Schizosaccharomyces pombe: one gene and its partner. The gene in region 1 interacts genetically with each later gene. Each region holds a gene or a part of one and is shown in the gene's direction. Other genes may lie near its edges.

Region 1 (5,241 bases):
ATTCATTTCTTCTCGTTTTATCCAGTCCGTCCTTTTAATACAACAAGTTTATACCAATATGCATTGCTTGCTATATTGAAACAAAGAAATTCCAAGATAAAATCCCTTAAGTTTGTAGATTTCAACAAAAAGACAATGAAAATAAAATTAAACATATGGGAAATCCACAATCTAAAATATGAGTGTTCATCTCTTTTATTAATGGGAAGATGGGACAACTCGACCCAAAGGTAATCCCACACGAACTTTCTGCCCTTGTTTGACCAAAAATTCAAAATCCGCAGGTGCTTCAAACACCAATACCACTGTACTACCAAGCTCAAAATTTCCGACCTCATCTCCACGAAGTAATGGGTGACCATGCAAAATAGAAGAAGATGAGGTGTATACAGCCTCATCAAAAGTACCTACTGGGCCTAGTTTTCCAAACTGATTCGTACATAAATCTTTATCAAATTTAATTCGGATACTGCCAACATTTGTAGCACCGACGGGTATCATACTCATAAACCCGTATTTGTATCTCCCCATCAAAGCTACTCTTTCGTTCAAGATGAAAAGATTTCCGAGTCGACGAGCCATAAAAGGAGAAACGCTAAACAGCTCTCCGGAAAAATGCCTTCTTCGTTCTACGACCCAATCAGTCGGCGAATGAAATCGATGGTAATCACCTGGTGCCAAGTAAATAACTGCGTAGTATAAACAATTCGTTTCTCTTGATCCGAACAACGTAAACTGTGATTTGGCTGCCACTTTTGTTGAGCTTAACAAATCAATATGTTGTGCGCTAGCATCTTTGACATGGCTTGGTCGTTCACCATGATCATGACCCATTAAATCTTGTAAACTGTAATGTATACCATTTAACTTGGCAAACTCCTCTTGACGAATGTGAGGGATATGATCGGGAGAGGGAATAGCATGGCTGCGCTTCAAACGAGCTAACTTCTCATCGCCCAATAGTGCATCAAGGGAATAGGTTATACCTTTTACTTGTTCAAGCTGACCTCCTTCAATAACACCATAATTCAAGATTTTCCCATCCGCAGGAATAACAATTGGGGCATCGGGATCAATTACGCGCGCTCCAGGTTTCAACTTTCTGGTGAAAAACTCGGCCAGATTTTTGTATTGGCGGACATCATCGGGGTCAGCTTCTGTCAAGTTGCAACCAAATATTTTAGAATAAAGGCCAAACGCTGGCACTCTCATCCATAGAGGAATCTCAATACGATTAACATATCCCCACCAACGCGAGAGAGTTCGTAATGGTAAAGTGGTAAGGACATAAAATTGCCATGGTCCCTCCACCTGAACGCCTTTCTTCTGATACGTTTTCTCGTGACGATCTTGAGCCCAAGCGAAGCCAGCTAATCCAACCAAGCCGATTCCTGTCAACCCATATGCTAAGCGGATGATTCCAACCCGTTTACGAGAGTTGTGTTTTCCCAAACTACTATACCTTGCAAATGCACCAAATTGAGGCTTCACATTACGATGAAATTTTAGCATGTTAGATTGTTTTTATGGAATTAAACTTTTGAATGGATTTCGGAGACCCGTTAACTTTTAAACTTCCATATGCTATTTCTTCGAATCCATGTGCTTCTCAAAGGATAGTGGTAGAAGTTAAGTCGTAGTAAACTTGGGATATCAAGTAAATATGGGAACTGTAATATGATTTAAAGTTGTTGAGTTTTCATTTTCTTTCTTTTTTTTTTTTTTAAGGAAATTAAATCAGATCCTTGACATTGTATCAGGCAATCCTACTTTGCGAAAATCGATCAAAATTAGAAGAAAGGAATATTCCTTATAGCATTGTATAAGTGCAGAAGAAACTTTCGAAGCAAGTTTGTAGAAAAATCTTAGAATAGGAGATTCTTTTCAATTACATTTCAATTTGTTTGATTATAATAACTTACGAGAAGGCGTAAATTAATTATTTTTTTTAAGCTTGTTTGATGGTTACCTAATAGAAAAAAAGCTTAATTGTAGCAAGATTTCTTATGTTCAGTTTTCAATGATTCGAAAACGGTAAAATAATGGAATGTTTACAACCGATGAGCGACTGTAAAAACTCATCAATACAAATAATAAAAGAGTTTTTGATCAAAATCCTTGCTTTACTTTGATAACGTTTCGATCAACACAAAAACCTATTTCATGAATTCGGGCATTGTTTGGAATTTTTAAGCAGCATGAATTCTGATATAGTAGAGGTAAAGTTTAGTTTTGGGTTGTGTTTTACTTTAAGGTTACGACCGTTGGTATATGTATATGGGAAATAAACAAACATTTTCACCATCAACTTTTTGTTGACTCACTGTAAACAAACAGAACCTGCTAATAGCATACTGCCATTTTACAACAAAAAGTTCAAGAAAACGGTTTGATTTGATTCCCAATCATTAAAGAGTAAAAGCAATTGTATTGACTGATACTTGCCTACCTAAGAGCTTGGTTGAAACAATTAAAGCGACCGTTTCAGCAACGAGAACCAATTCAAACATGAACTCTAACAACAAAAGAGTTGCGCTTCAAGAAATAAGCAATTATGTTTCCAAATCATTGAACGTAAAAGGCTGGGTGAACGCACAGGTACGAGAAATATCCCTTCAAAATGGGTGTAGCCCATCAGATAAACATTTTCCGTCACAGAGCTGGCATGGAATTAGTTCAATTGAAGAGTCGCAAATACAAAAGGACTATGATAGTTTTTTAGCGTCACCTTTAGAGGAAGAGATAGTCTTTACGGAGAAACAGCTTTTGGTAGATTTGGATGTTTGCTCGATCAGTAACGTTCAAAGTCCTAATTGCAGTGTTTCGGAATTTGGCATAGCGATTGAAGAATCAAATGACAATTGTGCAGAGGAGGATGAAGAGGAGGAATTACAGATGAGATATTCAGCAGATGAATCGGTGTCTGTGGAATACGCAAAAGAAATCCTATCGCACATGGAGAAATTGGAGGTATGAAAAAAATGGGAAGAAAAGGGGGAAGGAAAACAAGAAGATGAAGGAGTTGAAGAAGTTTTTATTTATTAACATTTTTTAGATTCGATTTATGCCTGATTACCGACATATGTCGGCTCAACCATATTATGTTACAGAGATGAGGGCTAGTGTGATCAATTGGATTGTGGGGGTGCATACATGTATAAACCTGCTTCCAGAATCCTTATTCCTATCGATCAATGTATTGGATAGATTTCTATCTCTACAAAATGTGCCAGCATCGAAAATGAAACTTTGCGGCGCAACGGCGCTGTTTATTGCTTGCAAGTATGAAGAGATCCATCCTCCTACAGTGAAAGATTTGGAAATAGTGTTGGAGGGAGAATGGATAGGAGAAGATATTTGCGGAATGGAAAAGTATATGCTTATGGTTCTTCAATATCAACTTGGGTGGCCGGGGCCAGTATCGTTTTTGAGGCTATTGACGATTGTCAACAAATGGGAGTCGCAGCTGCGAATAATGATAAAATATTTTCTTGAAGTATCGCTAGTGGAACAAAGATTTTCAAGTCTAAGGGCGAGTCAATTGGTAGCGACATGCGCCTACACCGGCCAATCTATATTGCAAGAGGAAAACTGGAGCAATACGTTGCCTCAAATTACGGGATATGATTATATGAGTTTAGTTTCGTATGTGCATCTACTGTTGAAATGTCTAGAAAATCCGTTTGATCACCACTATGCGATCTATTCAAAGTATGCAACACCGTATTTCCATGGGATTAGTCGACAAGTGCATGACTGGATTGCGACAAATACGAACTTGATGGCGATGGATGGTAGTTGAGGGGGGGGGGGAAGAGAAAAAGGAGGGAAAAGAGAGAGAAGAAGAAGTAAGATGTAGGAAATTTAATGAAAGATAGATATGAAGAGGATGAGAGAGAGAGAGAGAGAGAGAGAGAGAGAGGGAAGTGTAGGAAAATAGAGAAAAAAGAAGAGTAGTAGTAAAAGTAGAAGAGTAAGAGTAGGAGAAAAAAAATTACACGAGAGAGTAAAGACTGGGGTTATAGAAGTGAAAAGGGAGACGAACGACTTGATATGGACTTTTGTGAAAGAAGCTCGAATTAAGGTGTATCGCTAAGTAAGAAGGTTTGTAAAAAGCGAGGGAGGGTGGGACGGAATAGAGAAGCGAAGGGTCAAGTTGATGTCGAGAGGTTGGTAGTGCGGTAGATGTCGCTAATAAAGGTTTGTGAGAAGGAGAAGAGGAATCGCTACCAAGTACCTTTTATTAAAGGAGTGCCTTAGAATACAGTAAAAGAAAATAAAAGATGAACAAGACAAGGAAAGAAAAGTACCTAAATTGAACAAGAAAAAAAGAATAAAAAGCAAAATTAAATTAAAAAAAAAAAGAAATAAAGAAAATAAAAAAAAGAAATATTATTATTGTTATTATTATTTTAAATTTATTTTATTTTTATTTATTTGTTTTTTTTTTTTAGTAAGGGTATATATTTTATTAATAATAATTTTTACCTAGTGGTCCTATCTATATCTTGTTGTTGTGTGTATCTAGATGTCTATGCTACCAAAAATCTGTAACCTAATTTGTCTTATCTGATAATATGCTCTATGATACTATGAATAGCCATATCAGCTCATGAATATAGGAATCCTTGGAGCAGTCATTTGATGAAACGAGCAGTTCTTTTGAAAGATGCTTATCAACGTATTTGGGCGTAAATAGAAAAAGTTTGGGTTGTAACATTTGTTGAGTTAAATACATTTGAAATGTTTCAGAGAGTATGCAGACGGAATTGTTGTTGCTGAACATTGGCAAACACATTGATTTGCAAACATCATCGACGTAGCATTTCCCCGGTTTCCCTGTCTCCAAGGGCTCGTCATCATTGCGTCGTTTGCAATAAGCGCAAGCCAACGTGGGGAAACATAGCACAGAGGGGAGAAACAAAGTGCGATAAGTTTAGTTTTCGTAGTGGAGCGAGATGCAAGGAGTGCTTAGGAATGAGAGAAGAGAAGAGAGAAGAGAGTAAAGAGTAAAAGGATGTAAGGGTGTGAAGATGAGAGCATTTGATAAACAAAGGAAAGAAAAAGAGAATAGTCGAGTAGAATGGATGTAGAATAAAATATAATGCAATAAAATAAAATAAAATAAGAACAAAATAAAAATAAAATAAAATACAATACAATACAATACAATAATCATGAATTTTCATCTTCTTGGAATGAAACCATATCTTTTCCTCTTTTCCTCTTTTTCTCTCTTCC
Region 2 (4,394 bases), 1.5 Mb from region 1:
AACTTAGGAACTGGCTGGGTTTTCCAAAATTTGAAATCTTCGTAAGTCTTTGGGGGAGCTGCAGCTTCTTCTTTTTCTATCAAAGATCTCAACGCCAATCGGTCTAGCAGTTCACGAATTCCTCCTTCAGAAAATGAGCTGTCTTGCTGTGAATTTTTTGTATTTTTATTATTTTCGTTGTCCATCGTAAATAATCCAAAAATATTAAAAATAAAGCAAAGTTGGCCGTAAAGTCAAGTTTGGTTCTAGCTTGGATATTTCCAGATGGACTAGGTCTACTAACGACAAAACGTCGGCTGCATAATAGAAGCGTTTCTCGCCAATGAACCTTCAAAATTTAATTTTACTACTTAATAAAGAGGAATAAAATAAAAAAAATAACTATACGTGAGAAACGCTTCAGCATATTGTTGTCTCCTTAGCGAACCAAATTTGATGATAAAAAAAATTAGTTAAAGTCCTTTATTAATTTTATCTTTAAGGGGAGATGGATTACTTAATGAGTAGCAGACGTTTGCGCTTGAAGCTGCTGCATTAATAGAAAACTCAAAATACAAATCATTACATAAGATTCCATGATCGTTTAAAAAATGAACAATAGATGAAATAGTAAACCTATTTATTTTGTCTCCATATTTTTATACTCGATAAAATGTATGAGTTGAACTTGGCACTTTTTTCGAGCGTTTGTTTGTTTACATGATCTTGGTATTTGCATTATTCGCATGAAGTCGAATCTCATCCTTTAACCATTTGTAACTGGAGTGGGATCCGAAGGAAAATCAATCTTTCTCTCTTTTTTTTGGAGCTTTGCTTGTTATTTCATTAACAAGTTTATGCTAAGCTTGGCTGAGTGCTTTGAATTAGGATCAAATGGTTGAATCGTCTGATGAAAATGATCAAGCTTCTAGCTTTGCTAGCACAGAAGACCTAAAAGAACTACGGTTTGTAAGTTAATTAAATTGTTGAAATTTAAAGGTTAACATTTTAGGTATTTTGGTTTTCTGTTTTAATCCCTATTTTCTTTATTGCCTTGATCATTATAAAAAGATATCATAGTTGTACTTACCAAAAGAACAGACTGCTAAGATCCATTTTCTGCTGCATGTCTATTGATGATGAGGAAGAGTTGGAAACAGATATGTACGATCTTCCAATAGTCGAGCCTTCTATCACTTTACCAAAATATTCTGCGAGCCTTCAAGAAAATGAACGGCTAGTTGGAATTGAAGGTGAGAGAGAAGGAATTGATGTTGTCTTGAATTTTTCTAAAGCTGGCGAAGGCGGTGTAAATCCATATCCATCCTTTGATACGCCTAACGCCAGAATACTTCAGCTTCGTCAGTTGGCGAAACTTAAAAAGCATGGACCTCGCATATCTTATCATGGAATAGGTATTGGTCGATGCAATGGGAATCGTGTCTTACCGCCATATCCAGAACCTGCTTTACTTCCTGAAGCTCCCAATACTCGTGAAGCATCTAACAACACTTACTTATACGGGTTTTCTAACAACTTTATAAATATCTCTCGAACTCTTAATCTTCGTTATCCTTCTGCCTCAGCGAGCATCTCAGATTCATTACCTCCACCCTATCAAGTGTTGTCTGTTCCATCCGTTACATCTACACATGCTTTTTCTAACAATGCAAATCAAACCTGAGTATCTCCTTACTTCACCGGTTCAGGAATGCCATAGTTATTATTTATGCTAGCAGTGTTTTCTCTTCTCTGGAATTTATAGCAATTCTAATACTAATTATTGTTATACTTCTATTTCATGTTTATATAAGTATATGCTATAAGCATTTATATGGCATTAGACTGTTTAATTCTACTATGCATGATTGATATCCAAAAGCATTTTCGCGTAAACGTACCAAAATGACCTTAACCACAACACATACCCAGATACGGCTAGACTTAGAAAATCACTATTGAATTTCTTAATTCAAACAAACATCCTTATTCTAATAATCATTTAAATTATAAAATTTATGAAATGCTTACATCTAAACACGAATTTAGCTTATTCTTAAACACTCCCGCTATTAACAGCAAATCCGAGAAAGAGGTTATTTCTGAAGGGCCGTTAACAACTTCTAATGAAATAGATGTTACATTTTCTGAGTCTTTCTCTAGTCATTTAATAAATCTTAGACGCGTCCCATCCGTTAATTCGATCATTGAGCAAGAGAAGAAAGGACTCACAAAAATATCCCCTTCTATTCTGAATCAAAACATTGCTTATAAGGAAAAGCGTCAGCAACTTTTTTCTGTACTTTATGAAGTGCGTCAGCATTGCTATTTTTCGAGATTCTAACGAAACAGGAAACTGTCGGCTACGTATCTATGGACACGTTGTGCATTGCAATTTCTCTGTTGGATCGTTGTTTCACCGTTAAACCAACTATTCCAACTACCAGTTTTAAAATTTATGCTATCGGCTGTCTGTTCATTGCATTTAAACTTACAAGTGACTACTCAGTTGGTATGTTCGCGATAAAAACTGTTATTAATTTCTTTTGTAGCGAAGAAGTCTTTTTGCGAGAATTTGGCTCCAAGTTTGTCTACAAAAAACTTAGAGGTTTGTAGTGATTTACAGCTCGTTGAAACATGTTTCTTTAACAAATTAATAGAAATACGAGAAAATTGTTCTTGCTTTATTAAACTTCGATATATATGTCATTTCTCTTCCTTCTGTTGAGTCTTTTTTAACACCGTTGATCTTCCAACATGTATTCTTTAAATCCTTGCCTTCTGAAAGCTGTGATCAAATGATGGTTGAATGGCAGTATTTACTGGTTGAGGTAATGAAGGGTTAGTAGATTGATAATATATTAATGGATAGCACGCTAATCTGAACAGATTGTCAATTTATCGAATATAGGCCGACGGAAATTTTATGCGCTTCGTTCTGGGTCTTGCTTGAAATTATTTGGCCTTCTGCGTTTGATTTCAAACCTTTTCAACATTTGTGTTCTTTGCCCACAAATGGTTCTGCAGATGAAACTTATATTAAACACTCAAATCGGTTTCACGATTTGATTATATCTATCCAGCGTATAGCGGATATGTTAGCATAAAGCTTCAAACCCATCTATTAACCCAAATTCTAATGAACTTAATTATTAAAACTAAGCTATTTAATCAAAACTCTAAACCCTTTTTAATAACGCCCATAAACCTAATTAACTAAAACAATAATAAATTACCAATGAATAGCCAACATTTTCTTTATTTCCTCTTAGTAGATTTATGACAGCCCAACAATTTCTCCATTTTCACATATATCAATGTTTAAATAGGCAGGCGCAGTCGGTAAACCAGGAATTGTTTGGATTTCAGCAGCTAGCGGATAAATGAAGCCAGCGCCAGCATTCAAACGCATATCTCTAATAGGAACTGTAAAATTTTTTGGAACATTGCGAAATTCGGGATTATGCGAAAGAGAATATTGGGTTTTCGCCATGCAAATTGGTAAGTTACCGAACCCTTGTTTGATAAACGTATTTATTCGTTCCTTAGCTAGAGAACTAAATTCAACACCGTTTGCTCCATACATTTCTTTTGCAATCACATTTACTTTATCTTCAATTGAAGTCTCGCTATCATACAAAAGCCTAAACTTCGAATTGGATGACTGATCACAAGCCGTCATTACGGACTTGGCCAATTCAATAGCTCCTTTGCCGCCTTGGGCCCAATGATCCGAAGGTACAGCATCCACAGCTCCAGCTTGTAGCGCTGCCTCGCGTATTATTTCATGCTCCTTAGAACTATCAGTCTTATAACTGTTGATGGCGACAACAACAGGAATATTGAATTTATGACAATTTTGAATGTGTTTTACCATGTTGGAACATCCATTCTTTACAAGGTCTAGATTTTCAACAAGATATTCCTCAGGAATTGGGGCACCAGGTTTTAACTTGGGACCGCCTCCATGTAACTTAAGCGCTTTAACAGTGGTAACCAAAACAACGGTGTTAGGTACAAGTTTTGAGTATCTACATTTGATGTTAAAGAATTTTTCCATTCCCATGTCAGACGCAAATCCTGCTTCGGTAACGACATAGCCGGCATCTTCGGGTCTGTCAAAGCTTTCTGTACCAGCCAATTTTAAAGCAATTTTATCAGCGATAATAGAAGACGCGCCAATGCTAATGTTTGCAAAAGGTCCTGCGTGAACAAACGCTGGTGTTCCTTCCAAAGTTTGCATCAAGTTAGGTTTGATAGCGTCTTTAAGCAAAACGGTCAATGCTCCAGAAACTCCAAGGTCGCCAGCAGTAATAGCATTTCCGTATTTGTCGTTGGCTATAACCATACGGGATAAACGAGAATGCATGTCGTTTAAATCACATGAAAGAGCCAGAATTGACATGCATTCACTG

The links.
Region 2: of rem1 (region 1) and crs1, changing one enhances a phenotype caused by changing the other (phenotypic enhancement), as found in Schizosaccharomyces pombe (one study listed by BioGRID).

The regions. Positions count from the first base shown.
Region 1 is NC_003423.3:1,951,980-1,957,220, reverse strand, and holds rem1 (meiosis specific cyclin Rem1), read left to right. Parts: upstream 1-2,508; coding exon 2,509-2,970; exon of another isoform or gene 2,971-3,055; coding exon 3,056-3,802; downstream 3,803-5,241. Other genes in the region: phosphatidylserine decarboxylase Psd1, read right to left, coding at 199-1,512; SPOM_SPBC16E9.20 (uncharacterized protein), read right to left, coding at 4,860-5,241. UniProt on the Schizosaccharomyces pombe protein: Required for pre-meiotic DNA synthesis and S phase progression. Regulates levels of meiotic intragenic recombination.
Region 2 is NC_003423.3:3,451,015-3,455,408, reverse strand, and holds crs1 (cyclin Crs1), read left to right. Parts: upstream 1-1,892; 5' UTR 1,893-2,002; coding exon 2,003-2,290; intron 2,291-2,331; coding exon 2,332-2,491; intron 2,492-2,531; coding exon 2,532-2,587; intron 2,588-2,639; coding exon 2,640-2,820; exon of another isoform or gene 2,821-2,868; coding exon 2,869-3,086; downstream 3,087-4,394. Other genes in the region: myr1 (N-myristoyltransferase 1), read right to left, coding at 1-185; protein mug110, read left to right, coding at 874-948, 992-1,663; ade9 (trifunctional formate-tetrahydrofolate ligase/methenyltetrahydrofolate cyclohydrolase/methylenetetrahydrofolate dehydrogenase), read right to left, coding at 3,257-4,394. UniProt on the Schizosaccharomyces pombe protein: Has a role in meiotic chromosome segregation.